2 linked regions of the Arabidopsis thaliana genome follow. The protein of the gene in region 1 interacts with the protein of each later gene in a biochemical or structural test. Each region holds a gene or a part of one and is shown on either strand. Other genes may lie near its edges.

What was found.
Region 2: the proteins of MKS1 (region 1) and WRKY33 form a complex in vitro, tested with the Arabidopsis thaliana proteins (one study listed by BioGRID).

The regions. Positions count from the first base shown.
Region 1 is NC_003074.8:6,423,700-6,438,688, reverse strand, and holds MKS1 (MAP kinase substrate 1), read left to right. Parts: upstream 1-8,174; 5' UTR 8,175-8,265; coding exon 8,266-8,934; 3' UTR 8,935-9,155; downstream 9,156-14,989. Other genes in the region: PUB29 (plant U-box 29), read left to right, coding at 3,208-4,455; AT3G18700 (uncharacterized protein), read left to right, coding at 5,784-5,924, 6,011-6,064, 6,190-6,277, 6,369-6,434, 6,792-6,967; AT3G18680 (Amino acid kinase family protein), read right to left, coding at 9,169-9,557, 9,641-9,867, 9,979-10,070, 10,435-10,488, 10,583-10,724, 10,942-11,156; AT3G18670 (Ankyrin repeat family protein), read left to right, coding at 12,218-12,848, 12,937-13,086, 13,191-13,316, 13,400-13,839, 13,940-14,554. UniProt on the Arabidopsis thaliana protein: Regulator of plant defense response. May contribute to MPK4-regulated defense activation by coupling the kinase to specific WRKY transcription factors.
Region 2 is NC_003071.7:16,099,063-16,115,860, reverse strand, and holds WRKY33 (WRKY DNA-binding protein 33), read right to left. Parts: upstream 7,627-16,798; 5' UTR 7,386-7,626; coding exon 7,143-7,385; exon of another isoform or gene 6,894-7,142; coding exon 6,687-6,893; intron 6,618-6,686; coding exon 6,085-6,617; intron 5,995-6,084; coding exon 5,833-5,994; intron 5,737-5,832; coding exon 5,322-5,736; 3' UTR 5,095-5,321; downstream 1-5,094. Other genes in the region: CIPK22 (CBL-interacting Serine/Threonine-kinase), read left to right, coding at 657-1,952; AT2G38480 (Uncharacterized protein family (UPF0497)), read left to right, coding at 4,167-4,417, 4,505-4,628, 4,710-4,901; AT2G38465 (uncharacterized protein), read left to right, coding at 9,051-9,179, 9,343-9,468; IREG1 (iron regulated 1), read right to left, coding at 9,931-10,095, 10,222-10,332, 10,430-10,567, 10,742-10,913, 11,016-11,498, 11,602-11,949, 12,101-12,258; AT2G38450 (Sel1 repeat protein), read right to left, coding at 13,178-13,215, 13,309-13,378, 13,537-13,845; SCAR2 (SCAR homolog 2), read right to left, coding at 15,010-15,063, 15,340-15,447, 15,538-15,624, 15,705-16,798.

The sequences.
Region 1 (14,989 bases):
ATACAAACAAAAGTAGATTGTTGTGAAATTATATGTAAATCGCACGCGAATGAATTATATCATTGTTTTCCTATGTTACTTTGTGGTTCCTCATTTTACTCTCATCATCTTCCTTAATTACCCGTAGCGTGTGAAAAATCTTCATCATTAGTATGTTATTATCAATAGCATTTTAAATTTTATGTGTAGATTAGGTTATAATCAATATTCGAAAAGAAAAACATTAGATGCTATATGGATCTGTTCGGAGGCCGCGCGTCTAACCTCTACACTAATTACGTTTGGAGGTAGTTCTAGTCATTCTTTGACAAAAGCTAGTTCTGGTAATTGTGTATTTTCTAAGAAAATAGTACTATATACTAATGTATTGAATATGTATCAGTTGGCCCGCCTCAATAAAAGGATTTCATTTTCGCGGTTACCAATTTTTTGTTGATTTAATCAGAATCATAACGTTTAGATGTTTCTTACCATATAAATTACCCGTTTTATATCACCCAAATTTAATAATGTGTTGAAGTTAACATATACTACACAACAAAATCAACTGTACCAAATCTGAATCGAAGAAAAAAAAGCTGGTTAAATCTGATAAATTCCTTACAAATATTCTAGAAAATTCCTCATAAATAACTCGCTAAGAATTGAATGATGTCGACTTCGAATGGGAACATGACACTGGATATGTTTTTTTTCATGTGATGCAAACGAGTTGCCTCTGCCAATGGCAACCTCTGAATAATAATACAACCCCACACTTTTGGAACTGGATTCTTCTTCATATCTCTATCTTCACCCTATATTTAGTTTAAATTATTTACACCCCAAATGTATGGAGAATTAACATTGAATATGCCTCATACAGATTTATCTTTGCCATTTAACAACCAGACTAACGTTTTTAATCTTCACTGAATGTGTTTTTCTTCTTTTCGATAAAAGCTTATCACTGAGTATATTATCTCATTCTATTTTTAGTTTAAATCTCGCGGTAAACAAATATAGTCATCGACCATGACACCATGTGAATTAACTATTAACTAATTACATGAAACAAAATAAGTTTTAAAGTTGCAGTTTCTATGAGATTGATATGTATTATCAATGACAAAATAGGACGTACGTAAAATCTTCTTTTTCGTTAGTATATTTCTTTTGTTTATTAGAATTACATGTTCCCTCGATTAGAAATACATTAGTTGCAAAAAAAGAGAATATTAAAGCTCCCAAAACTATCCTTAGTTCCTTGCATATGAGGACAAATGAAAATTATTGTCCACCAACAACCATAATGGATGGATCAGATGATGAGTGAGGTAAAATTATTAAAAGGTGAGATAATTGGCGTAGATGTTTTTCCGATTTGGCATAATTGCTAATTGTAGACAATGATGCACGTTGGCATCATTATAGTTTTATTTCCTTTCGGTGCAATTTACCCTATTATCAATTATATGCTCACGAGTTAATATATACATACTCTGATACTCAATTCATTTACCTGCCATAAGAATGATTATAAACAACAAATACAACGAGAAGAAATTTTTTTTTGATTACCATTCATTTCACTTAAATACACGTACGTGCTATATCGGCAAGTGCTAGCTAGATCGATGTCTATTAAAAGGTTGATACGATTTTACACTCTTTTTAACGGCTATTAGTTATGATCTTACCCGTTTAATAATGCTAAACCTAATTGAAAGTTGACCTAATAATAAGAAACTTAATTATTGTCCCAACATATTCAAAATAAATGATTCACGAGTCAGCAAAGCATTTCATCCTACTCCTACCTCTCACCTCTGAAAATTGAAATATTTTCAACACTTAAGTTTGATTTTACTATTAGGCCAACAACTTTCGGTCATCACCTTATGCTTTTCATCTACGGTTCAAAAAATTCAAATTTATTTTTATTTTCTTCTATTCAAAGTAAGAAACTATACGTCTATACGTACTATTAATGGATCGAAGGAGATACGATTAACCTTTTTTCTGAAAAAGAGCAACAAACTAATTGTACGTGAAAAAAGTAAAACTAATCATCTAAACTTATGTATTATTAAATGCAAAGCACCACCTTGTTTTAGCATCTAAACATATGTATTATATATATTAAAAATGGCACAACCGTGAGCAACTAAAGCAATGATTAATAAATAAATCAAGACCAATCTCAAATCCATTGAACTTGAATTATAATTAATACAACCCCCTAATTTGTTATGAGCCAGTTATACATCTTCTTCATTAGACAATAAGACAGTCCAACCATAATACATATATACATTATACTTTTCAGACAGCTAAAATGTTATGTATCTTCGAATACTTTAATAATTGTATATACGTTATTGCTCATCACAAAAAAAAGTCTAATTTATCTAACAAACATTATACTCAACAGAAGATGACAATCCGAAAAAGAAAAAAAACGCTTTTACTTTTCCCCCGAATCAAACACCTTCGCTCGAATAATAAAATTATCAAACACTCTTTCTCCTTAGTGGAAGCCACAACACAATTTATTTATCAACAACATTAGACATAAACTATCCAAAACATAAATGTCATCAAAATATTATTCGGCCATGGACCAATATCATCTTTGTATATCTGTACCACATTTGCTGACTCAGAGTTTGTTTTAAGTAACACAAATATTATAACATTGCTTTTGTAATCATTTGTTTTTAAATTTCATTCATAAAAAAAGTACTAAAAACAGGACATTATATGGACCAAACCCATGTGCTCTCGACGAGACCAAAATAGGCCACTCGTGCAGAGAACATGTCCCACCACTCCCACACGCTTCTGGCCTCCAAACTCACACGTGTAAGCAAGCATAAATAAAAGATCGTCACCGTTGGTCAAAGTCCTCCCATCAACAACACATCTTAACGGTTACGACTTGACCCAATCCCCTGACTCTGAAACGTTCTTTGATTTTTGACCCATGACCAGAATTTTTGTTGATTCTTTAAAATTTCTGACTTGTCATCAACATTAACATCTTTAATACACTACTACTATAGTATATAGTATAATCTTGCTACGGTGACGCAAGCGTGCGTTTGACTCTCTCTTAAAATCCCACCTCCACTCACTTTCTCTCTTCACCTTTCACTTAGCATCATCTTCACTTTCCCGCATTTTCTCTGCCCAGATTTTCTCTGATTCTTTTGTTGTTTTTTTCTGATGGGGAGAGATGAAACAGAGACGTACATTACAGTGCCAAGTTTCTTCAAATGTCCGATATCTCTTGACGTGATGAGATCTCCGGTTAGTCTCTGTACCGGCGTGACTTATGATCGAGCCAGTATCCAGAGATGGCTCGATGGTGGTAACAACACTTGTCCCGCTACTATGCAACTTCTCAAAACTAAAGATTTTGTTCCTAACCTCACTCTTCAACGTCTTATCAATATCTGGTCTGATTCAATCGGCCGTCGTCACAACGGTGATTCTCCGGTTCTGAATCCGCCGTCTGGTAGAGAAGTTCCGACGAAGGAAGAAGTGAATGTGTTGTTGGAGAGATTGATGAGTCTGGAGAATTTGATGAAGATCGTTCGATTCGTGAAGGATTCGGATTCGAACAGAGAGTTTCTCTCGAAGAAGATGGAGTTCGTACCAATGCTCGTTGATATTATACGCACGAAGAAGACGAAGATCGAGTTAGTTATAATGGCGATTAGGATTTTGGATTCGATTAAAGTAGATCGTGAACGGTTATCGAATCTGATGTTGGCGAATGACGGCGGAGATTGTTTAACGGCGATTCTCTTAGCGATTCAACGCGGGAATCTGGAATCGAAGATCGAATCGGTTCGGGTTTTGGATTGGATCTCCTTCGACGCTAAATCAAAGCTTATGATAGCAGAACGTGACGGAGTTTTAACAGAGATGATGAAATCGATAAGTATCACTGAGTCGTCAGATCCGAGTTTGATCGAAGCGAGTTTATCGTTTCTAATCACAATCTCCAAATCAAAACGAGTGAGATCGAAACTAATCGCTGCAAAAGCAATCACGAAGATCAAAGACATTCTTCTGACGGAGACGTTAACAAACGTTGCCGTGACGGAGAAGTCGTTGAAGCTGTTAGAGACTTTATCGTCAAAGCGAGAAGGGAGATTGGAGATTTGTGGAGACGACAATGGTAGATGTGTGGAAGGAGTGGTGAAGAAGCTCTTGAAAGTATCGACGACGGCGACGGAACACGCCGTGACGATTTTGTGGTGTTTGTGTTATGTTTTCAGGGAAGATAAGACGGTGGAAGAGACGGTGGAGAGAAGTAACGGAGTTACGAAGCTGTTAGTGGTGATACAGAGCAATTGTTCGGCGATGGTTAGACAAATGGCGAAAGATTTGATTAAAGTGTTGAAGTTTAATTCCTCTGCTTTGGCTGCTTACGAGACCAAGACTACTCATATTATGCCTTTTTGATTTTTTAGTAGTACATTATGAATAAATATGATATAAGTAAATCTTATTATCAAACTATTTTGAACGTATAGATGTTGTAAATCTTATGAGAAATTTTGTCAGTTTTACTAATATTTGCCTCGTGTTAATTGAGAATTATACGATTTAATTACTCATAGCAACAATTTGATACATTAATAGTTTACACGATTTAGAGCCAAATATATCATTTTCTTTCAAATTTGTAGCTTGTGTCACACAATTATACAACTTGTGTGTGTTCAAAAACATTATTTTGAAACAGTAAAGAAGGTTTAAAGATGGATATGCACTTAAAATATTCGCAATTTGAATCATTCGGCATAATTTCAAACATTTAGTTTATAAAAATATTTGAATAAAACAAAATCAATAGTTAAAAGAATGATTTTGTAAGTTTAGATGGTGGGGAAAGGCATCGAGTGACTATTATCTGATTAATTTGATTAAGGCTATAAATTAAAACTCTCTAGTGTGACTAGATAGATACTTTTGGTTCAAAAGAATTCAAATGACAGCTTCGTAAGTGTGTACTAGATTAAGTTAAAGTATGGTTCACTGAATCTGACTAAAAGTTTTATTACTATGAGTTAAATGGATGGTTATGCAATTTTGCTTATTACTGAACCAAAATATAGGAATAAGGTTCTTCCCTTTGGATTGAAGTGACAAACGAAAACTGGTCTCTAATGTCTAAATTATCTTGTAAACTAGTACCTTTTAACAAATTTACTTTTCTTTCTTGTTAGAGGACGTTGCAACATTTCATGGTCATGCCTCTCTCACACCCACCCGCTTTTTTATATTCTATCCTTTGTTCGAATTTTGATTTGAATGGTACTTGTTTCAACATTTGATTTGCAACGGAAAATATTATCTTTTTGAATAGTAGGAATCTATACACGTAAGTTTTCAGATTGAATGAATTTTTTATATATTATATACGATATAATAAATATAAACTGATTGAGGAACAATAAAGATTGTTTTAGTAAAACAATTAAAATTATCTGAGTTGATATTATAGAAGGTTTCAGAATCCATAATCTTTTGTCTTATTTAACTTTATAACTTAATTAAAAAAAAAATGAAATTTATTTTGGAGGATAATTTAATAGAGTATCAAAAACATATGGATATTAATATCATCTACAACTTATTTTAATTTTTAATATATCCATATGTTTTTGATACCCTATTAAATTATCCTCCAAAATAAATTTCATTTTTTTTATTTTAATATCTCTGCCAGTTATGTTACTTCTTTTACAAGAACATCACATTTGGTGTCACCATTTTTTTCTACGACAATGCCTACTTCCTACACATCCTTCTCTGCTCAACCCACAAATAACAACTGGTTTTTGTTGTTCAACATCTTCTTCTCTTCCCTTCTTGTTATTGCTCTCCGATTTTTCGATCAAGATGTCTCAGATCGCTACAGTTACAAGGTATCCAAAGTTACCACATAAACTCTATACAACAACCCTAAATTCCTCTGAATTGCGAGTAAAGTTCTATGTTTTTTTGTTTGCAGTTCATGTTTCTATACCAAGGAGTTCAAAATCTCCTCTGTATCTTGAAGAGAATCGTCCGATAGATGTTTAATGAAGTCTTTACCGCGCTCGCCATTTTTTATCTCTGCAAGGAATCTCTAAAACACCTGCTTTATAACTTGAATGTCAAATCCACATGCCGAGGAGAAATCCTCAGCAGGACAATGGTTTGAAGTTTTTAGAGAATGCATTCCTTGTGAAAAAACAAATTGGATTAAAGTTTAAGAACATCAAAACTAACATGAAAGGTGAGATTTTTTTGTTAAATACTTTCAGATGCTACTTTTTCTATGTTGTTTTTGTAATAACTTTTTCAACTTCCTTTTCTTAATCTTTTAGAGAAGGCAGTCCTTGTGGAAAATGAAATCGGATTAAAGTTTAAGAACATCAAATTTGAAGTGAAAGGTGAACTTTTTTTGTTTGTTTGTTAGTTTCATATCCAAATTTTGGTAGTTTGAAAACAAAAGTTCCAACTTTTCATAGTCACGTTCATATCTACATCTATAATAACTGTTAGTAGTTTCAAATGCAACGTTTTGCTCTGTTTTATTTTGGAACCATGACAATAGAAATTGTTTCGTTTGCATGTATAACCAGACACTAGTAAACATTCTCTAGAAACTATGCAAAACACTAAACAACTCAATGACTATGAATATGTTAGAATTTTTAAAACTTAGCTTTCTTCATACCAAAATTGTAAATACAAAGCCATTGAGTCTACCTTCGACCTGTAGTGTTTGGTGGATGTGGTTCAGCAAGGCGAGGAGTACCCATGTCCGTCGTTGCCAGCCCTCCCTGATACTAAGGCATCGTCAAATTCGGACCTCGATATGGCGCCGAACCACGAGTACCAAGTGTCTGTCAATTCCCCCACACTACTCAACGACAGTACTGGAGAGGTTTCTAAAGGACCATGTTGGAGTCATCTTCTATGAGTAGTTTATCTTTTTAAATTAGTAGCTTTCAAACAATCCTAAATTTGTAGTTTTTAAACTAAATAAAAATTTAAAAAATATATCTATAGTTATTAATTTAGGGAATAAGTTGAAAATAAGTCACTTTTTCAAAATAAATTTATAAAAGTATTCACTTTACTATTATAATATACAAAGTAGTCATTTTTCGTACACATAAATTTATACAATACATTCAATATACAAAGTATATATATTTATATATATATACTAAAAGTATTGTACATATGTAAGTATACGAAAAATGATTACTTTACAATTATAAATAATAAAATGACTACTTTTAAAATTATGTTTTAAAAAGTAACTACTTTCTCAATACACTCTTATTTTATTCGAATTGTTTGAAAATATTATTACACTCGAAAGTTTCAAACTTTGATCAGCTATTTTCTTGGACCAAACTAGAATTGATATGGGCTTTGGATAAACAAATGAAAGCCTGTTAGCAACCATCCTCATAATATATGTTCATTGTTATCATTATCTATATATGGAAAAATTATTAGACTAGTAATATTTTTATGTAGAAATGTTTTTAACCAAAGCCAGTTTATTTTTCTTTTATCAGGTAACTTAATAAAATCATTTATGTTTCAACGAGGACTAGTATGTTTATGTAGATCTTATTTGGTCATAGGTTCAATTTCGTCTTCTTTTTTTGCTGACAAAAGACAACTAAATATCTGATTTCTATGGGTAGATACTTAATTACTTAGTCTTCTAAGTATATATATTTAACTCACCCTATACAATATACATGTTTTTGTTTTTTTTAACAACTCATATGATAGGTCTTAATTAGGTTTGTTACTTCTATGCATGCAGACGTTAATAGCTTAGCTAGGTACTAAGAAAGAAAGAAATTGATTGTTACCATAATTTGCAACTTCTAGAACTTGTAAAACTTAAATAGAACTATCACTAATAATTGTATGTTAATGATTGACAACATTACTAATATATATAACTGTGTGCCGTTGATAATGTTGATTCCTAAGATCTTTCCTACTAATTAATTATCTAACATTAAGACAAGAATGGAAGTTTCCTAATTAAGCATGTGCTGTAACAATTTGGTTGGAGACACAAAAAGTCAACATTTTTTAAAGTCAAACTAATCGTTCTGATGACTTTTTATTTCTTTCTCTTTTTTGTTGTTTTGGTCAATTTTCTCAGTCGCCAAAACATTCAATTCCCAAACCAAACAGAGCAGAAGAACAACAAGTTTTGATTCTAAAAAAGGAAGCTTCCCAAGTATGGATCCGTCGGAGTATTTTGCCGGCGGCAATCCTTCCGATCAACAGAACCAGAAGCGGCAGCTTCAGATCTGTGGTCCTCGTCCTTCACCTCTTAGTGTTCACAAAGACTCTCACAAAATCAAGAAACCTCCAAAACACCCTGCGCCGCCGCCAAATCGTGACCAACCGCCGCCGTATATTCCTAGAGAGCCGGTGGTTATCTACGCCGTATCCCCCAAGGTTGTACACGCAACCGCGTCTGAGTTCATGAACGTAGTCCAGCGACTCACAGGGATCTCCTCTGGTGTTTTCCTCGAATCTGGCGGCGGTGGAGATGTTTCACCGGCGGCGAGGCTAGCGTCCACGGAAAATGCTAGTCCAAGAGGAGGAAAAGAACCGGCTGCGAGAGATGAGACGGTGGAAATCAACACGGCTATGGAAGAAGCAGCTGAATTTGGTGGTTATGCTCCGGGAATACTCTCGCCATCTCCGGCCTTGTTGCCAACAGCTTCTACCGGGATATTCTCTCCGATGTATCATCAAGGTGGGATGTTTTCGCCGGCTATACCACTGGGATTATTCTCGCCGGCGGGATTTATGAGCCCGTTTCGAAGTCCTGGCTTTACTAGTTTGGTAGCTTCACCAACTTTTGCTGATTTCTTTAGTCATATTTGGGATCAAGATTAGATTTTTTTTTGGTGTTTTGCTCTGTAATTTTTTTGTATTATGTATTTTGACATATCCAATGTAGTAGCCCAAAGGGTTTAAAATGAGCTTCATGTATAAAAAGATTAACTTTCAAAAATTTCAGACAGATTCCTAGAATGTAAAACTTGTCTGCAAACTAATATATACAGGAGTTACAAGATTCTCCTGACCTAAGATACTCTAATAAGTTTTGTGTTTTGAGAATAGGCTTCTTCATGAGGTTGTTGTAACAATGGAGTTCCAAGTTCCTCCTATCAATGTACCAACTCTCTCTCCTTTGATTGCTTTGGCGATGTTCCCAGGTTCCGAAAGATTGAATACCACAACTGCAAATTGACACAGAACTAAATAAGCATTCTTGTTGTATTTTAGATGATCATGTATGCATGTGGTCAAGGTTTGAGAGAGTGTTATAGAAAACAAGCCTGGGATGTTATTTTCTTGGCACAAAGTGATAGCAGTCATATCCATTACAGAGAGGTCCTTTGAGGTGACCTCTTGGTAAGTTAGTGAGTCAAGCAGACGAGCGTTTGGGTTTCTTTTAGGATCATCGTCGAACACGCCATCAACATTTGTTGCTTTCAGCACTACTTCTGCATTAACTGTGTCCAATGCGAAAAGTTTTTTTTTAGTGTTGCGAATAATCATTGGAGAAAACTTAAACGGAAACCACCTCTTTACTTACTTTCAGCACATCGAAGAGCCGCTGCAGTATCGGTGGTGAAAAATGGATTGCCTGTTCCAGCTGCAAATATTACAACCCTTCCTTTTTCTAGATGTCTGATTGCTCGTCTTCTTATGTAAGGCTCTGCGACTTCCGACATGCGGAAAGCAGTTTGAACACGGGTTGGGATGCCAATACTCTCCATTGTCGCTTGAAGAAATATTGCATTCATCACAGTTGCCAGCATCCTATCCAATTTCAGATAAACCAATGAGACCAAAAACCTCCAGTAGAGGAAAATTCTGGATCTTCTCCGAGTAAGAAGAAGAAGATCCTTTGACACAAAGGCGTATGATTACCCGATATAATCAGCAGAGGAGCGATCAAGGCCACTGCACCCAGCCCAGGTAGATCCACGAAAGATATTTCCTCCTCCAACAACTATAGCAACCTATTGTAAAGGCGTAAGAAGATCAGACAGAGCACACACAACATTGCAATGATTCTTAATGACCCAGACACATGATCTGTTGCCGTATAGTATGTTTAAATCATAACAAATTTCTAACTTTAAGTTGTGTAATGCCATATATCTCCACCCCTTAACTTAAGCTCCCGTTTCTTGTAAGTTTGAGCTAATTGATTTCCAGCATATTTGGTTACATCTACACAGGCAATTATCAAATACTTCGGGTATTATACTTATGTATAGGAAGAACTCAAAGCTGAATACATATCCACTAAAAAATTTTGAATCCAATTATCACAATGACAACTAGAACAAGAATGTTTGAATGAAGCGTTTAGAGAATAACCTCAATGCCAAGTCGAGTCACTGCTGCAACTTCCCTTGCAATCGCCATAGTAACCTAATTAACGGGAAACTGGATGAGACTTCTGAAGTAAGGAAACAGAGAACAAAGAAAGCAAAACAAGGAGGGTTCTTTTGGTATCACAATAAACCTTTGGGTCGATATTTTGCTCCTCGTCTCCAGCAAGAGCTTCTCCACTGACTTTGAGTAAAACCCTTCTCCATTTAAGCGGTGGTTTGGATGTTCCATCAAAGGAAGGCAGTCGTGGGAAAGATGATTGCCCGTTTAAGCTACTGAAAATTACAGATGATCGCAACAGAGTATTAACAAAATCAGCCAAAGTTCCAAACATTATAAATGGGTTAAGTTTTACTTCAACCAAAACAATAAAATCAGATTTGCAATATATTTTAATAAACTCTTAAACCCTAAACCCAGAAGTATCTTCATTGACAAATTTTCACAAACATCTGGTGGGCGTAAAGATTAAAACTTGAAGATTAATAATACCTCCCGTTCCCGTTCCCGTTTCCGTTCATGGAGTCTGGAGATGAACCATTGTCTGAGGACAAAGAAGAAGAGCAGCTGATAAGTACACGCCTACTGTAATTCTGGTTGGAGAAGAAAGTACGATTGCGAAGTGTAAGAGGGACGAAGGAGGTTCGGGAAATAGACGAAGAAGTTGAGATTGGGGAGCAAGAGGTAAGAGGCAACGGAATTGCCATTGCCGGAGAGATCTAAGAAGAGATTATTTACTGAAATATTCAGTAGAGAAGTGTCGCCGGCAAAGACGGGTTTTAAGTCTGAGAAGATAAGGTCTGGTTTCAATGTAATTTACTAATTAATCAAATGAATTGTTGTGATATTTAATGTGTATATATATATATATATATATATATATATATTTGAATTATATCCCCAATAATTCACTATATTTAATCTTATCTTATCATACAAAAACGAATAACTTTCATTAAATTCTGAATATATTTAGAAAATTTTGATATATGTCAAAATGTCTTTTAGAGTTTTAACATACGTTATACATATACTTCTATAAAAAATGTAATTTTTAATCAAATTTAATTGAACACCAATTTTAGTGCACTACATATAACAAATAGCTACAAATAGATAGATATTTTCTTATATCTAAATAATTCACACTATTTTATGTGTACTTATTATTGACCAATGGTTTTTTTTCTTTTTTTATAACAATTGATTAATAGGTTTGAAATAACTACATTTGCATCCTACAAGAGAAGTGAAGAACCACAAAGCATTCTTATTTTCGTTTCAATGACTTGAAAAATATGAGTTTTCTTACCAAGTTCAAGTTTTAAAAGTTTACTAATTGCAAATTTACAAGTAACATTGTTTTTGAAGAGTGAAACTAAATTCTTTGCTTTGCAACGACGTAAATTTTTGTAACACTAAAGCTCGATCTTTTAAATATTCCCGGGAAAAGTAAAAGTAACAAACACATATAAGAAGAAAAAAACACTGATAATGATCTTGAAATCTTTCATGGTATGAATAGTCAAGGATTATTCGTATTACAGTTTATTATAATGTTTAATTACTTGAATCCTTGTCTCTTTTCTTTGTCCTTGAAACCTTGCTTCAAAGATAAGCCACCACAACTCTTTTAACACTTTACTCATGTGCCTCTGTTCGAATAACGGAAAGATATGTTTTCTTTTACAGAAAAATTATAAAAGAACAATTTTACACTTAAACAAACACATACCACCACGTTTCTTGCGGGAGAAGCAACCGACAAATGGATACCGAGAAAGGTTATCCCAGAGGTTTCAGAGCAGAGAGTCTACGACCAGAAACGGGCCCCAGAAGCTTTCGGTTTGATAGTATGCAGATCGATGAAGCAGCCGATCTACAAAAAGACGAGATACGACAAGAGAACTCGACCTATCTTGTCCTCTTCAAGAACATAGACAGTGGAGAGTTGGAAGCCACGAAAGACTTCTTGGACCGAAACCCTGAAGCTTTAACCGCAATCTTAACCTCTAATGGAGACACTCCAATCCATAAAGCTGTTTTGTCGGGTCACATCAAGATCGTGGAAGAGATCATTAGAAGAATTCATGATCCAGAGCAAGTGTTAAAGATCAAGAACGATAATGGTTATACAGCGCTTACTTATGCTGCCACTGGTGGAATTGTAAGAATTGCAGAGTGTTTGGTGAATAAGTGTCCTGGTTTGGTCAGTGTTCGGAATGCGAAAGAGCATATACCGATCGTGGTGGCTTCATTGTACGGTCACAAACATTTGGTTCAGTATCTTTACAGTCACACACCTCTCAGTGATCTTGATCCTTGTGATGATTCAGATGAACACAAGGGCAAGAACGGAGCGATGCTCGTGACAAATTGTATTGTCGATGGATTATATTGTAAGTTCTTAACTAATGATTTATAAATGTTCGTGTATTATCATTACTTGTTCATGAGATTTGGCTAATGTGGCGCATGTACATAAAGGTATTGCTTTGGATCTGATTCAGAGGTATCCTAAGTTGGCTTATACTCGAGACAGTGATAACGATACAGCGATCATGGCGCTTGCTCAAACACCTTATGCGTTTCCTAGCGGTACCCGTCTTGCATTTTGGCAACGGTGGATATATTCTTGTGGGTATACTTACCTTATGCTTTAAAATAGATATAACGTTTTTTGTTATTAGGAAGTTTGATTTTATTAGGCTTTAATTTTGTTGATGGTTTTTCTCTTGAAGGTATTCACATAGAGAAGATTAATAACCCTCATGAAGTTAATAATCACCATCACCACCATCAATATAGGAATTCGCAGGATCATAATTCGATTCAAGAGAAGTTGATGAAACACCTCAAATATCTTTGTAAGCAGTAATTACCATCCCAAATTGTTACCCCCTCATTGTTTTTGTTTTTATCAATCTTAGATTAAACTTTCTATTGACAGTTCCACGCATAATTAGACGTGTATACAAACTAAAGCTAGGACATGCTCAAGCTAAAGAAATACTAGACTGTATCTGTCAAGAGATACCTAAATTTGACGCGGCTCAACAAAAGAACGCTGGTCTAAACCAAGCTCTCTTTAAGGCGGTAGAGAATGGAATCGTAGAGTATATCGAGGAAATGATGAGGCATTATCCTGATATCGTATGGTCCAAAAATAGTAGTGGTCTTAACATCTTCTTCTACGCGGTAAGCCAGAGACAAGAAAAGATCTTTAGCCTCATTTACAATATAGGTGCTAAGAAGAACATCCTCGCTACAAATTGGGACATATTCCATAACAATATGCTTCATCACGCCGCGTATAGAGCCCCAGCCTCAAGGCTTAATCTCATTCCTGGTGCAGCTCTTCAGATGCAAAGGGAACTACAATGGTTTAAGGTGATACATAGTTGTATATATGATCTTGCTACACAAGAAATTAGGCAATAACTGTTTCTGTGAAAAGGAACCTAGGATTATAACTCTGTATTATTTCCAGGAAGTGGAGAAGTTAGTGCAACCGAAGCATCGAAAAATGGTTAACTTGAAGCAGAAGAAAACTCCAAAGGCTCTGTTTACAGACCAACACAAGGATCTCGTGGAGCAAGGAGAGAAATGGATGAAAGAAACAGCAACTTCTTGCACAGTCGTTGCCGCTCTAATCACCACAATGATGTTTTCCTCCGCCTTTACTGTCCCCGGAGGTTACCGTTCAGACGGCATGCCACTCTACATCCACCAGCACAGATTTAAGATATTCCTCATCTCCGACGCTATCTCTCTTTTCACCTCATGTATGTCTCTCCTCATGTTCCTCGGCATTCTCAAGTCTCGCTACCGTGAAGAGGATTTTCTTCGATCACTTCCGACAAAACTGATCGTGGGTCTTTTGGCTTTGTTTCTTTCGATGGCGACGATGATTGTGACTTTTGTCGTGACGCTCATGACTCTGGTTGGAGAGAAAATCTCGTGGGTTTCGGCTCAATTTATGTTTCTTGCGGTGATTCCGCTGGGGATGTTCGTTGTCCTTCAGTTTCCGGTGTTACTTGAGATCTTCCGCGCCACTTATTGTCCTAACGTTTTTGATAAACCTCGGCGAGTGTTTAAGCTTTGATCGAGACTCGAGAGGAATAATGTTGGTGATCAAACTAATGATGGTCTTCCACTTCACTTGTAATTCTTCCTACAAACATATGAAAAAGCCTTATGAGTAGTAGGTTCGAGCCTTCAAAATCAGAGTTTAATTGTGTTCTAGCATTAATATATACTTCTGATTTTTGTTTTTAGTAAATAATGATGATTATACATTATTTACCAGTTTCCTTTTATAATTCTCTCTTCCATATGCAACCACTATATAATAGATTTTTTTAATAAAAAAAAATTATCTACTAGAGCAATTCCCATACGTACTTGTTTACGAAAAAGGTACTAACTGGCTCACTAAAATTAACGTTGATATTTCGATGAACCATTTTTTTTCGATTCAAAAACATATATTGCTATATTCGTGCATGTGTTTTTAAATATCTAGACTTAAACTACAATT
Region 2 (16,798 bases), on another chromosome or scaffold:
ACCATCTTAACCGGTAAAGAAGCTTAAAACATCGTCATGTATACTGCTTAGCATTCTATACAAAGTAACGTCAATCCACGTTGTTTTTTTCTTTCACATTATTCAAATATTTTTATATAGACGTTCTTTTTATTTTTGATAAAGTTTTTATTTTTGTCAACGATGAACGTTTAAAAAAAAAAAATATGTCGAGTTTTCCCAGCTCCTACAAAAACAAATAAATTAAGACTTTAAATCCCACCTGGAATTAGAAGGTTTTGGTTGACCTGACAAGGCAGATGTTTGGTAACAACAACATGAACCACACATTGGGGAAAGAATCATGAAAATTCCTTGAATCGTAAATTATTTCAGGAGAAAATGACTCTATCTCTAACCTGGTTGATATATCGCAACTAATTCAAATTAGTAAAAATCGAAAATGTTATCGCATTTTGAAATTGTCTTTTGTGAAGATTGTTTCTTTCATTTATTTGTTTAATGCATTTTATAATAAAGTCAAACTATTTTAAAATCTTTGTTTAAAATAATAGCTTACTTACGTGGCAAGTTGAGGAATTTCAATAAGAAGAGGCACCGCGCGCATGTCTTTTACAATTCCTAGACTGTTTCTCTTTACTCTGTTTTTTTGCTCTGTTTTTTTTGTTTGTTTGTTAATGGCCGAAGACTCTAATTCTTCCGAATCAATCATTGTTAACGTCACCGGAGATGATAATAAGTCGGCTTTGTTCGGTAAGTACGATCTCGGTAAGCTCCTCGGTAGCGGCGCGTTTGCCAAAGTCTACCAAGCGGAGGATCTTCAAAACGGCGGCGAAAGCGTTGCGATCAAAGTCGTACAAAAAAAACGTTTGAAAGACGGTTTAACGGCGCACGTTAAGAGAGAAATATCTGTCATGCGCCGCCTCCGTCATCCTCATATCGTGCTCCTCTCCGAAGTCCTCGCCACAAAGACGAAGATCTACTTCGTCATGGAGCTAGCCAAAGGTGGTGAGCTCTTCTCAAGAGTCACCAGCAACCGTTTCACAGAGAGTCTTAGCCGGAAATATTTCCGGCAATTGATCTCCGCCGTGAGATACTGCCACGCAAGAGGAGTTTTCCACCGTGATTTGAAGCCGGAGAATCTCCTCCTCGACGAGAATCGAGATCTGAAGGTTTCAGACTTCGGTCTCAGTGCGATGAAGGAGCAGATCCACCCCGACGGAATGCTACATACGCTCTGTGGAACTCCGGCTTACGTAGCACCGGAGCTTCTTTTGAAGAAAGGCTACGACGGTTCTAAAGCTGATATTTGGTCATGCGGCGTCGTTTTGTTTCTTCTCAACGCAGGCTACTTGCCGTTTCGTGATCCAAACATCATGGGACTCTACCGGAAAATCCACAAGGCTCAATACAAGTTACCGGATTGGACATCTTCAGATCTGCGGAAACTCCTCCGCCGTCTCTTGGAGCCAAATCCGGAACTGCGAATCACCGTGGAGGAGATTCTAAAGGATCCGTGGTTCAATCATGGAGTAGATCCAAGCGAAATCATCGGAATCCAAGCCGATGATTACGATCTGGAAGAAAACGGTAAAATTCTAAACGCGTTCGATTTGATTTCTTCGGCGTCGAGCTCGAATCTCTCCGGTTTGTTTGGAAATTTCGTGACGCCGGATCATTGCGACCAGTTTGTATCCGATGAGAGTACGGCCGTTATTATGAGGAAGGTCGAGGAAGTTGCGAAGCAGTTAAATTTGAGAATCGCGAAGAAGAAGGAGAGAGCGATAAAGCTTGAAGGTCCACATGGAGTAGCTAATGTCGTCGTTAAAGTTCGCCGGCTAACAAATGAACTAGTGATGGTGGAGATGAAGAACAAGCAAAGAGACGTGGGCTTGGTTTGGGCCGATGCTCTTAGACAAAAGTTACGTCGTTTGATTAACCAACCGGTTTATAAAGTTCCTGACAAACCGTAAAACGGTTTCAACACTAAACCAACAATCCGTGCGTTTTACTTTTAGAATTTTCAACGTACTACACTCGGGATCGAGACGCATTGTGGTTAACCGGTTCGGTTTACATTGGAGCAGGGAGAGTAATGGGACGATCCGCCTCTTTGTATATAAAAATGACAAGAAGAAAGAAAAAAACAAACCGGGATTCAATTATTTTTGTTTATTTATTTTCGGAGTATAATTTAAACACAAAAATTATTTGCTTTATTCATCGGAGAGAATTTGAATAAAACTCTGATTTGAACTTTGTAGCCTTTTATGTGTGACCGTGTGTGTTTGCAAACTTGGGCCTTATTTTGCGCTAAGGGACATGCTACACCGTTTGTAATATTTATCGTTGTTGATTTTGTTTGGCAATCGTACGAAGTATTTCAGGATCTTTTATGTATGAATGTTTATTTGAGTTTGTATTAAAAACATATATATGAATGTTACAGATTAACGAATAGTTGTCACTGCTGATTACCACTTGGCAATTCCGTTAAAACATGATTGGTATATATAACCGTACAAGTCTATAAGATAGATCACAAAATTCTAGCCAAAGCATCAATGTTTTATTTGTTTTGGGGAGTTTGTGGTCCAATGCTAATTTTAGAAATACAAAAACTATAGCTTCCAACGCATACATTTGATTTGACATAGATATATTCAGTAACTTTCTATAACAGAACTAGATAACCTATGTTATTTGGATAGTGGTGTGATCCCATTAAAAAACTTACTATGCAAATTAAATTAGTCGACGTCATAGAAAAAGAGAGAGAGGATTGTTATAAAGCAATATCAGCTGTCGGTAATTACGTGTTAAGTGTATGGTAAGTCTATCGAAGCTATCAGAGATAAGAAATAAGTATACTCTTATGAAATTAGCAAAGTTAAATTGTGTGTTTTGAAAAACAAATGACATTAAAATAAACAAAAAATAAATCTCAAACTCACGTCAAACACACGACCCTACCGTAACTCGACGTGACGCTAACGCCAAGCTCAGAAGATTTAGTGTGGTGGTGGTCAATGCAAATGTTGATAATTGTATCATCACGTTGAACTCTATAAAGTTTTATTTATTTATTTTTCTTTTCGATAAAAAAAAAGGTTGTGAAATGTGAACTCTAATAAGTTCCCAAAGCCATTACAAGTCTCTCACATTAAAACCTTCTTCCTCCATTAAGATCAAAATTGTTGTTATATTTGTTGAGCTAAGAACAAAACAGAAATAACTGTTTTTACAGTTATTGGTCGGACAATAGACTCAAAATGGATTGGATTTGAACTCCGTAGGTAACTTCTCTAGTGGACTCAACAAGTCTTGAATCATCCCCTTATCATTGAAAGCATCTTTAAGATTTTCTTTGCCTTGGTCTTCGTCATTGGTCCAATTAGAATGGGAACTTAAACTGCCTCGAATGATTTGGTACTTCTAATGCACACATCATTGATCTAGACTTATGGAAGTTCTTACTTATGCTCTTCATATTGACAAATGACAACAATCTATTTCCAAGTAATTTCCAATGAACTTGTTTTTTTTTGTTTTTTTTTTGCTAAAAAGAAATAACAAATTTCAGTTTTTATAATGTTTGTTTCCAACTCTTGTTATGTAATAAAGTTAATTAACATTCCTTTATACAGAAAACACAATCTTCCAATGAGAAAAAAAAAACAAATCAACTGTCCATAAATTCTCCAATCAGACTTTGATATAAAGCTTTCCATAAAAAGATTGTGAAGAACAATTCCATTCTTAGCACAAAAGTTATGGAATTGATTAAACATCCCAAATCCTAAAACCATATATTACCATATAGATTAGAAAACATTATCACCATAGAATAGATAAATAGATATAGAAAAATCTCTTAAAAATAATACCAATGAAACACAATGATCCTGACCAATGAGCATGCTTCGCTGTCTAAATGCAAGCCACGATTAACTAACACACATGACACAGAACTGTTAGTCTTAATCACATTGCTTAATGCTTACCAATTACCATAAATCACTCCCGCCACCACGCGTTTTCTTCAATTTAACATATAAAACTCGAAACCTTAATTACGTTTTCCAAAACTAATCAGTTTTTCTTTTCTTCCAAGTTTGTTATTCCTCGTCCCGAATCTTCGCATTAAAAACAGAACCAATTCCGACCAAAGTTTTGAGATCTGTAATATGACGAATCCCGATAACATGAAACCGGTTGAAGCTACTGACGTGGAATCTGCGGCGGAGAAGACGTCGGAGCCGACGCCGGCATCTGGAACGTCGACGATTACTCAGAGATGGAAAAGAGAGGATTTGATAAAGAAAGCATCTCCGATTACGAGAGGAATCTGTCTTTTGTTCTCTCTTATTGCTTTCTTAATTATGGTCTCTAATAAACATGGTTACGGTAGAAACTTCAATGACTACGAAGAGTACAGGTTCGATTTCCGTTTTTTGATACTGGAATTTGAAATTGGGTTTGCGTAATATCGATCAAAGTTTTGAAATTTCTTATATTGCTTCAGATATGTATTGGCGATTTCGATTATTTCAACATTATACACTGCGTGGCAAACATTTGCACATTTCTCAAAAAGGGAAATTTTCGATCGCCGGACTTCTATTTTGGTCGATTTCTCCGGCGACCAGGTAATGCCACAAACTGATTATCAATTCTCAGATTTATATATGTAAAGTTATGATTTTTATGCAAAAAAGTGAAATTTGCAGATTGTGGCGTATTTGCTTATATCAGCTGCATCATCTGCAATTCCATTGACAAACATATTCAGAGAAGGTCAAGATAACATTTTCACTGATTCTGCTGCTTCTGCTATAAGTATGGCTATCTTCGCATTCATTGCTTTAGCTCTCTCTGCTCTCTTCTCCGGTTACAAACTCTCCACTCATTCTTTTATCTGAAGATCTCTTTGCAATAATGTGCTTCAGTAGTTATATACCATTGTGATCTTTGTTATACATGTAAATGTCAATTCTTTTATGTGTTCTTATAGCTGATATCAACTTCTGTTATTTGGGTCTGTCAGACTGTCACTGTGTCTCCCTGTGTCACTGTGTGTGTGTGTGTGTGCTTCTTTGATTCATTATTCAAAGTGAAGAAACTGAAAATTGATTGGTTTTATTCCGTGTTCTAGTTCTATGGTACAAAGTACAAACATTAAACATATTACAGGCGTGTGAAAAAACAAATGAAAAAATTTCTCTATGGACTATAGAAGTCTGACTTACTATCCTGCAGGATAACTAGTAAGTAGTAAAATCCTTTGGTGGCAGAAATGTACAAAAGGAACATAAAAAAGGAACAACTGGTTCCTTTTTTCTTCAGGGCATAAACGAATCGAAAAATGAGGTCTCCTCGTTTGGTTCTTCCTTTGCTCTAGAGAATCCACCACCAACAAAGTTTTGTTGCGTTTGAAGGTTGCTGTTGTTGTTATTGTTGTTCATGGCGTAACCAAAAGGCCCGGTATTAGTGTTGTTGTTGTGCAGCATCTGAAGTGTATATGGTGCTTGAGAAGAAGTAGTGTAGTTGGAGTGACCAGCAATAGCAGCTGGTCTAATCGGGACTGAAGACGAATCCTGTGGTGCTCTGTTTGTGGCGTAACCGCTACCACGAGCTGCAGGAACATCGTGGTTGTGTTTCCCTTCGTAGGTTGTGATTACTGCTCTCATGTCGTGTGATGCTCTCTCCACATGTTTCCTCACTGGACAACCGATGGTTGTGCACTTGTAGTAGCTTCTGTTAAGATTCAGCAAATGAAAAGAAAACAAAAGGTCAGATTCTCAAGAACCTTAATTCTGAGTTATTGAGATGCACAATTGTTTATGTTATTACCTTGGATTTGGGTTTCCCTTAACGACTTTCTGGCCGTATTTTCTCCATCTGTAACCGTCGTCAAGAATGTCAATATCACTCGTTGTCTGCACTACGATTCTCGGCTCTCTCACTGTCTTGCTTCCACCACCATTCCCACCATTTGTTTCATTGTCCCCTTTCCTGAAAACACAAAAAAACATACATTTTAGAACTTTCATATTCAAGATTGTTCAAAGAGTAGCAAATTTGGAGGGTGATGATGATCTGTACCATCTCTTTGCTTCAGGTTCACTCCCACAATCTTCTTCGTCTCTGCTGACAATCGATGAGCCTTGTTCGAACTCATCGTCACCAACAGAATCAGAAGTAGTATTATCCTCTTGTTGCATCCCAAAGGAATCAGACTGATGAAAGCTATTATTGGAATTAGGCTGATCAGAAGAAGCTTGACGATTATGATCCAAACTGGCATTGTACACAGCTGAATGAAAAGTCGAAGAAGACGAAGAAGATCTTCTAGTAGACTGAGGTTTAGGATGGTTGTGGCTTCCTTTATACACAATCTCTGTGATCTGACCTTCCAAAGATCTCTCCACTTTCTTCTTCGTTGGACAATTAGGGAAAGTACACTTATAGTAACTCCGAGGATTCTCACTTCCTTTCACCTGTTTTTGTCCGTACTTTCTCCAATTGTAACCATCCTCTCCTTTCCTTTGCTCTCTTCCATTGTAAGATACAGCTTGATTGTTTGGACGAGTCTCGGTTTGGCTCCATTGTTCTGACTGGTTCTTCTTCTGTTGTTCCTGAAACTCAAAACAAAGTTATAGAAAAACTCATAAACAGAGGATTTGAGCTGTTGATGAAGTACATACCTGAGATTGAAAGATAGAACTGTTTGTTGTTGTTGTAGTTGTAGTTGTAGTTGTAGTTGTGGTCGGAGCAGAAACTCCTGATGATTGTGTGTGGAATGAGAAATCGAATAAGTTAAAGTTGTTGTTGTTGCTCTTGTCTCCTTCATTTATACCTTTCTGGTTAGTTACGTTTGTGATTAAAGCTCCTGTGGTTGGAGAAGCTAGAACCTGCAAAACAATCCCAAGAATTGTTCAGACTTCAAGAAAAGAGACAAATAGCAATAACATAATTAAGAAAGAGTCGAGAGTTGACTCTAAAAGTCTTTCTCTCTCTTTGAAACCGTTGACCCATAACTTTATCACTTCCGATCACGATTCATTGTCAAGATGTTAAATCAATGATACATCAAACACAGATTATCATCACTAATTGGATTCATTTCAAAAGAAACAGAGAAAAAAAACAGAGAGGCTTACGTTAGCAGAGGAGGAGACAAAAGCAGGGGAATCGAGAAAAAGAGAGGGACTGAAACAAGTGGAAGGAGAGACAAGAGAAGGAGAGATAGAGATTGAAGAAGGAGCAAAAGATCTGAACTTTGGTATCTCAAGATCTTCCAAAGAGGAAGTAGATGTTCTTCCGGATTGTTGTGACCAATTAGCAGAACCATTCATGTTTTGTCTGGTTCTGCTATTGTCCATTGTAAGAAAAGAAGCAGCCATACGAAAAATGGAAGTTTGTTTTATAAAAGACCAATTTCAGATATATATAGAAAGGAGGGGGGCTTGGAGAAGAAGAAAATGAGAGAAGTGATGGTTCTTGTTCTTCTTCTTGTTTCTGTATATTTGTTGGTTATGTCTGAATATATAAAACATATTGCACGTCTGATTGGTGAATATTATATTATTTTAAAATTTTGTTTAATTGTTCGTTTTTATTTTTAGGGTCACATATGAAGAAGAGTAGTTTCTGAGAAGGTGATAAAAAGTTTGACCGTTGAAAATATGATTAGAAGAAGAAGGAGAAGAGATAGATTGGTCAGACCTTGTGGCCTTGACTCTCAAACGTTGAACGGATTTTTTGAGGGGCGGCTCAATGCTTTCATCATCTTCATATGTCTCGTTCTGACACGTATGATTTATTCTTTATACGATGTTGTAGTATTTTTGGATCAAAAATACAAATTCAAACATTTGGGATTCTTGGCTCTTGCTCAAAAAACCTAGAAAATTTCGGAATCTTGAAAATTTTGACTGTAGGTGTACTAGGAAAGGTTCTCTCATATCTTTAAAGCACATGACATGAGTGTAAAAGATTAGTATTTAGAAGTGAGTTTGTGAGTATTTTACTATTTTTAGCAAAACCTCCTAACTAAAGTCGATATTAAATCCATGTGCGGCTGTTTTTGGTTTCAATCTATTTTTTAGGAGACTTAATTCTACTATGAATAGACTAATTGAACACAAGATTATTCATTTAAAGAATACTAGAAACAAATATTTATTAGAATGTTAAATTCTATGATTATCAAACTATTTTGTATCCGTATCGGTTTTGATATAGAGATAGGCTACAAATTGACCCTAGATAACATTTTGTAGCTTCCGATCAATAAATTGGTATAACTTCTGTCGAAGGTAGGCCTTTTTTTTTTGTATATATGTATTTGAAGTAGCCATAAATGTAATAAGAGAATTACATATTGTGTATATATGTATTTGAAGTAGCCATAAATGTTCTTATTGAGATGTCAGGATGTTTGTCTTCCATCACTGCTACCACGTCTGGCCCTCTTCTTTGGTAGTCGTCTCTGTTTTGTACATAAAACCTTACTCAGTTTGTTGTTTCCTTAACTAGTCTTGTAATATTTGTTATTTGCTTTTTTTATCTAGACGTCCTTGTTTTATATAAACAGTCTATGTACGTTGTATTGTACAATGTTTAATATCAATAACAACACCCTTTGGCAAAAAAAAAAAAATTACATATCGTGTCAAGCATAGTAGTGTAAATTGTAAATCGTTTAGGTATATAAAAGTGATCAGTTTCTTATTGCACGATATGTGGTATGGTTCTTCACGTGGAACCTAAATTAAACGTCATGGATTTTGTGTCGCTTTACCGTGCAAGTTGCAAACTATGCAGTGTTTGTTGATCCGATGACAGTTTCTTTCTTCAGCCCAAAAGCCCAAAAGGCCCAAAGTAAAATAGCCTCTTGCTTTAATACACGTCGGTATCTCTACAGCTAACACGTAAAACAGACGTGGCAAGAGTTGCTTCCAGAATCATTAATAGTTAAAAAAAATCATCATTGGCACAAGAAAGTGAGATATTTCCTAGTCTTGCTTTCAAGTTTCAAGCAATCTATCTATCTCGAAAAAGCAGCGATGCAAGACGCCGAGACATCACGACAGCCGGCGAAGTCTTTGTCCGATCGAGTGAAGACTAACTGTTTATCCATGGCAGTAACATGCCAGGAAGGGTTTAGCTATGTCAAAGCCTTTTTTGTTGGCCAGGTGCGTATACAAGAGTCTTGTTTCGAGCCACTGAAACAAGCGGATCAGAGACTCATGGGTCTTCTTGAATCAATGATCACTTGACGTATTTGGTGTCTCGTTAATTTCCTTATTGATTAGTTTCATTTTGTTATAATCTTTTATTTTTATTTTGGTTTGGAAGACAAAGAGATTGACGGCAAAGAACGAGAAGGAAGCTACGGAGGCTCATCTAACGGAGACAAAAATGCAAGTTGACGCAACCGATGAAGCAGAGAATGCCAAGAAGAGACTTCATCAATCTTCTTAATGTTTCTTTATTAACATATAATAATGGAGTGTGTACTTTATTAAGCAAACACAAATATCTGGGAGTTTTCAACTGTTTCTACTACTAATGATGAATGTTATTTCAGTATTGATTTTTAATACAGAATTCTATTCCCAAAAGATAAAATGGAAAATTTTCATTGTTATTATAGAACTACATAAAAGTGAGTTCATACAAAACAGAGTGAATTCATACAAAAAACGGAGGAAAGTTGTCTTTAACACATCACAAAATTGTCACTGAAAGTTGTCTTTAACACATCACAAAATTGTCACTGACCTATTTTGTGGGTGTTTTCTTTTGACTATATCTTTGACCTATTTAACCAATCATTTAAGCCATTTGATTCATTTTTGGCTGCTTTATGGTCATGTCATAAAACCACCCCATTTCTAGTTATCCATGTCGGAGAAATCGTGGCACATTCCACAACATTATGAATTACACGTTTCCACGAGAAGGGAGCAACTTGAATATACATTTGTTCAACAAAGGAATCTTCTCAAGATGAAAAATATGGTTTCTTATGCGGTAGAGGTGAATTGTATAGAGCATTCCTGCCAACGATACTGTGGAGAATGAGATCAACGTCAATATCCAAAAATCCTGAAATAAAAAAGTCCATAAATATTATGACCTTGATTGTATGAAAACGTAAATTTTGCATTTGATGGATAAAAAGAGTCATTATCTATATATGGATCCTTAGAATATAAACTGGAATTTATTTACCTTTGGATTGGAGACAATGATACCTAAAAGATATGCCATCAAGTCAAGAGCCGATTGCAGTGAGTTCTGAACACCTCCAACCACACAACGGTCGGATTCTGAAACAAGATCCTAACACATGACCAAAAACATTACGAAACGTTCTTATTATAAGTCTTTAAAGAATACGTGTGCTGTAACTATATAAGCTAAAGAAATGTAAACATACCTGCATTTGTTGGATGACGGCAAGATCAAACATCCACAAGCCAAGCCTTGAAGCAGCAACTCCAGCCATTAGCATGTAAGATGCTATTTTATCCTTTTTAACCCAAATCGATCCAACGCAGACCAAAAGGCAGCTCCACTGTATGAACAACAACCCTACTTTTATGACTCTTTTGTTTTACTCGAGTTCCATAACATGGTCAAGTACATATATGATACACTTAATATCTAGTGAAGAATGAGAAAAAGACTTGTTATAACCTGTAACCAATCAGATGAATCAAACCATAGGTGTGTTTTCAAGTTGATATACCTGAGACCAGAAGGACCAGAGGCCGGTTCTCAGAGTTGAGAGACGCGATTGCATTAGCGGATACACTAATGTAGCCGCTAGTCCAACCGTTGCACTTATTCCCCTGCCTATACCGATGATATATGTAGGTATACCTTCCCACTGCAATGTAGCCGTCATCAATGTTCCAAAGCTGTGTCAAGGTGGTAAATAAAACAACAATGATCCACATAATCGGTAGGATATGCATGTTCATCTGAGGACTCTTAAACATATAGATAAAGAGAAAAGGAACCTGAGGACGGTGAAGAACAAGAGAGCTAGAGAAACCCCGGGGAGGACAACTTCTTGATTGAAATAAATTCTCCATGCGCCAACAAAAGAGGACTTGGACATTCTATCCAGTATCACCAAGATTCCGGTTCTAGACGGAGGGTTTCCAGTATAACCCTCCTCTGTTCCCGGAACAATAGAAACAGAAACAGGTGCATCTCTTCCTTCTACTTGCTTTGTCCGGGAACGCAAGATCCGTCTCTCATTGCTTCGTGTTATTGCAGGAACACCGCTATACACAGAAATGAAGAGCCAATATTCAACCCAAGCTGTTATAGTAGCCCAAGCTGCAAAAGTGATCGCTGAAGCCTTAAGTGAGACAAAACTGATGATCAGACCAGTAATGACTGGAGACAGTAGCTTGGAGCTCAAATCAATGCCTCTAATGACAGAATTCATTTTTGTCAATACTGCTGGTGGATGACCTTCAGACATAACCACAGCCCTGTTGGTTGCCAAAAGAGCCAAAAGAAATACATGTTGCAAATATGACACTATACATAAGATTGCATTCATGTGTTGCAAATATATACAGTCTAGACATTTACCAGTCTCGTTCGATCAGAATGGTGCCAGCAAGAGTCGAAAGAACTCCAATGGCGCCAGCAAGATTCGTTAACACAATCAAGATTGCAAACACCGGGAGATTCCGGGACTTAAGATCAGAAACTAGCAACAACTTGATGACTGCACCACCAGCAATAGTGTAGGAGAGGTTCTGGAACAGGAGCCAGAGTCTAAGAACTTTAACGTAGTCCATTCCCTCGACCCATTGCCCCACAATGGGACCAAAGATTGCAGTAGAACCAGATTCTATAGCACCATAAATGGCAGCGAGAAGCAGAGAGTTTGGCCACAAGTGGATCATATACAATGCAACAGAGAATTCCCATGTTCTGCATCACAAAACCAAGAAAAGAAAGTAGTCCATCATCTTCAAAACGTCTAACACTAATACACTATGAATAAAGTTTTATATCTTCATACAATAAAAAAAAAAAAAAGAGTTTCAAAATAATTGGAGATAAAGGATTGATGGAAACCTACCTGGCACTCCATCTTGCAAGAAAATATCCAACGTAAAGATATATCACGAAACGACGTCGTAAGGCTGGTGGTGGGTTTTGTGGCTGTGATTCATCTTCTCCTTCTTCGCGTTGTTGTTCTTCCTGATGAACAACCCTCAATTCTGTCTCATTCTCCATTTTCTGCTGGAAAGTCTCGAATTTAACATCGATCAAGCGATTAGGTGTTGATTACGTATTGAATTCCAAATGAAACATGACATCTGTAGATATTTCTACAGTCATCATTTGCATGAGCGTTTTAGTGTGTGACAACAAAGCCGTCCTCGAGAATTGCGATAAATATGAACTGCCATATTAACAATAGTTTATCCTGAAAACAAAAAACGATGATTCTAGGAATAAATGAGAAACAAAAACCTTATTTTAGCGCCGCAGAAATAGCTTTGTTGATCGAATGATGGAAAAAGAATCGACGAAACTCAGTATTACTTTGTTCTAGAGTGGTCCTATTAATATTGGTGATTCTATTTCCAAAGGGATGAAAATTTGTTAGTGGAGCAAAAAACAGATTCCCACTAGGCACTGGGAATATTTATGGTTTTGTGTGCAAAATGACTATGATACAATTACATTATTTTATGGTTTTTAGATTTTAAGATTGGTTTAAGAAAACAAGCCAGTCTTTCCAATGCCTATTCTAAGTCATCGGAGAAATTATAAGTTCGTTGTTATACAAATCACTTATCGAACGAAATGGATCTAAGTAGTATAAATGGATGTTCTTCTTCTGAACTTTTTTTTACCCCGCTGATATTGTTTACTTTGGAGTTTGGAACATAGAAAAAGTAACAAAACAATACGAGTACCTTTTTTAACTCCTTTTCATTGCTAGAATAATCATACACTGTGAGCAAAGGCATTCACCAAAATTTAAACAAAATAAAAAAAGAAGACATATTTGAGTAATAGAGCTACAAAATGATTAGCAAGCATCAAAAGATATGCGCAGAGAGAAGATATTGTTCATTGTTGGAACTTGGATCATCCAAGATTGAAACAAAACAGAACAAACACAAGCTCTCTCGATCAGGACATGCTAATCAGACTCTGAATCTGAATCACTTGCGTTGTAACCTGAGAAATCACAAAAAAAACAAATTCATATCCAAAAGCAAAAAAGAACCAATTTGTTGATAAACCAATTTTGACATGTAATAAAACAAAGACCTGGTCGTTTATCTATCACTTTCCACACTGAAGAACGAACTCTTGATGCTTTCGTAATCCAAAGTCTCCCCTAATCATTAATAAAACACAGAATCAAATTCAAAAACCTAAAAAAGAAGAAACTTGCAAATCAATCTAATCAAATTAGAGAATTTTCAAATCAACCAAACTAAAAAAACCTAAAACTTGGAAAAGAAGAGATTGAAAGGGAGGGAATAAAGACGAAACCTTTCTAGCATCCTTAGGGACTCCATACCCAGAGTAATACATCTGACCTAACAAAACCTGCATAGTGATGTTCCCAGCTTTAGCTTCCTCAAGAGTGTCTTTAAACCACCGCTTCGCACAATCAGAAACCACCGATGAAAGCGGAACGAAACGTCGTGTAGTTTCGCTGGTGGTGGTGGTGGATGATGAATCTTTGTCGGAACTGTCCATGGAGGAAATGGGTCGGATCGGTTTTGAGGATTTGATGAATCCAGCTACTGCTGCGGAAGCTCCTCTTAGCCCTGTTTTGACGGGAATCGATTTTCCCATTTTTAATTTATAAACATAAAAATAAATAAAAGGAAAAAATCGGTTTTCTTCTCAATCTCTTGTTTGGTTTTGGTTTGGTCTCATTGTATAAAATAATATTAAAATATCTTATGGGCCTAGCTCTTAAGCCCACTAGAATTTTTTTATTTTTTTCCCTAGCCCACTAGAAATTAAGACTAGCTCCTTGCTATTTCATAACGGTTACTGAATAAAGAGCTCTGTCTATATAAAGGCCATCATAAATTCTTCACAATTGCATTCTTTCGCTCTCGTCTCCTTGTTTTTTTTAGTAGCATGAGTTCGTCTAAGGTTTTGAGTTCAGACACTATAACGGTAATCAAGAATGATATCTCAGGATTTTTCACTCTCATATAGTTTCTTTTAGCCCTAACGTCTCAGGTGTGAACCCGGTCGAGGCTGTTGCTTATGGTGGTGCTGTTCCGGGTGGTATTTTGCGCGGACGATGTGGTCTGATCCCGATAATCAAGTATTCAGACAGGATACAGGTGGTGCCAGCCGAGAATAGAGATCAAGTATTAAGTAGGCTTCCAACTGATTTACATATGAGGATTGAGGATTGCCATACTTCCAATCCTCCTTCTCGATCCAACTACTCTATTTGGGTTCAAATTGAAACTCAGTTATGCCTGCAAATGATTTTTGTGAAGATCATCCTATTGGTACTAAGCAAGCAAACCATCATATCATTTCAGTCCTCTAGAAACCAAATATTACCTTTGAAGTGTGTGCAGTGCACTAACTAGCTGATTCTCATAGATATTCGTTATCCAAATGACCAAATATACAGTCAAAGGACACTGCAAATGATTGAGAACACACAATACATATCTATGTATGTATTCAAATACACATACATAGCCTACTAAAAGAATGTTCTATGAGCTAAAAAAAAGAACGAAACATTCCTACACACAAATTTCCGTAAAACTACTGCAAATTTCGGAATCTACTTACATTACAACATACACACACCTATAAAACAGTACACAATATACATACATACATATATAAATAACCAATGACTGTATGTATTTAATGTTATATGTCTGAAATAGAGATTGTATAACCTACCTGACTCCAAGTGCTTGCGCACTCATCATGATACAAGAACGAACACCACGGAAAAGCCAACGATCATCGATTTCAAGAATCACTCCAACTATCTGAATCTTCATCCTCGTCGCTTCCAGCCATTGCCTGCACCAGTGTTCAACCGGTTTTAGATGTGTGTGCGATAGAGAAAAAGTGATATTTTATTTGGTCTATGATCAGGCTTATAATTCATTGTTTCCACTTAAGAGACTGCTTCGGATCCAATCTAAGACATAATGTGAGACTAAACTCCTCAGATTTTCATGTCAAATTGAAATGCTTTGACATGAAGCCTCTACGATTAGCAAGGACCACAGAAAAAGGTGAAAAAACTTGAAAACATTTACTATCTTTGAAGGAGATGGAAAGAGAGTAACGAACCATGCGTATTGTATTTGCTTTCTCTAAGATTGCAGCTACCCTTAAGTCTGTTCTAGGACCAGTCTGGATGCTGGGTCGTGTTGTTACTGCCGGCTTTAGATTGACGGACTGCATAAACAAAACACAACTCATAAAATTCCAAATACAAAATTCTGTTCACAGGACCATCTGGGATTTTACATGATCAACATGTGCTACCTTGTTTCGTATTTGTGCAAGCAACGAATCTTTGTCATCTTGCTTTGATTTGATTGGTGGATGGACCATCTCAGAGACTTTCTTCATCTGGCAAATCATCAGAACAAGTGATTAGAGACATAATCTTAGCAAAGGCATGGTATTGCAGACAAGATGAAATTTTGTACCTTGCGTCTGTCATGAGCTGCAACAGCATCGACAAGCGGACTTCTTGGCCTAGGAAGCCTAACCGTAGGGACCACTTCTGTCTTATATGTGTCCAAGGTAGGTGCCACAGAGAAACAGCTAACAGGCCACATAGCATCTCCCACTGAAACAGGATTTATCTTCTGAACTGACGTGTTTGATGATTCTGCAGTTTCTGCATTTGAAGCATCAGGAACCGAATGACCCTTATCTTCTACCTTTGTTGATTGAGTTGGCGTCAGGGATTTGGTTTCAGGACAATGGTGATCATCGCTTGAACTTTGAGATTCATGCACATCAGCATCGTCCTTGAAATCTTCGTGTTTAACCTGAGGCAGCTGCAATGACGACGCTTGAGAGTAAACGAGCTCGTGGTTCTGAGCTGCATGGTCAGCCAAAAGATTGTTCTCCTCAGAACCAAAATCCTCTATGCACTCCTGATAAGGTATTGTAGGGAGCTCAGAACTGTCGTATTGACTATTCAAATCAGTGCTCATGGTTGGGAACTGAATGGATGATTGCAATGGCTTTTCTGATGCATTGTGAACAAACCCTCCAGGAAGTCGTTCTGATTCGTCACTTCCTAAAGATACAGATAGCTCTGATGGTGGAGACCCAATTTGAACATTCAAGCTAGAACCAATGGGTGGTGCCGCTGATAAAGCAGAACTACTGGTTTCGACTGATTCCCCCATGAAGGTAGGAAAAGAATGTGGAACCTTTCCAATAAGCCATTGCATAGGAGGAAGGGGTGGCATGTCCTCTGGATTGGGCGGAATAGTCTCAGGGATAAAACCAAAGCTAGGAAAAGTAGGATCCAGATTCAACTCTTGCTTAGGTCTGTTCAATTCTATACCTGCAGATTGTGGTGCAAATTCTAAGCCTGCTGATTGTGGTTCAAACTCTAAGCCCCTGAAAACATTTGACTGCAGCAATTCCTCATCTGCAACTTCATGGCTTGCATAAGATGTTTGCTCTCTAACTGCCTGGTCGATAGCCTCACTCTCTAAAAGGTTCAGATTATACACTTGTGTGGAATCTATGCAATTATCATCAAGAATGCTCTCACCAGGAG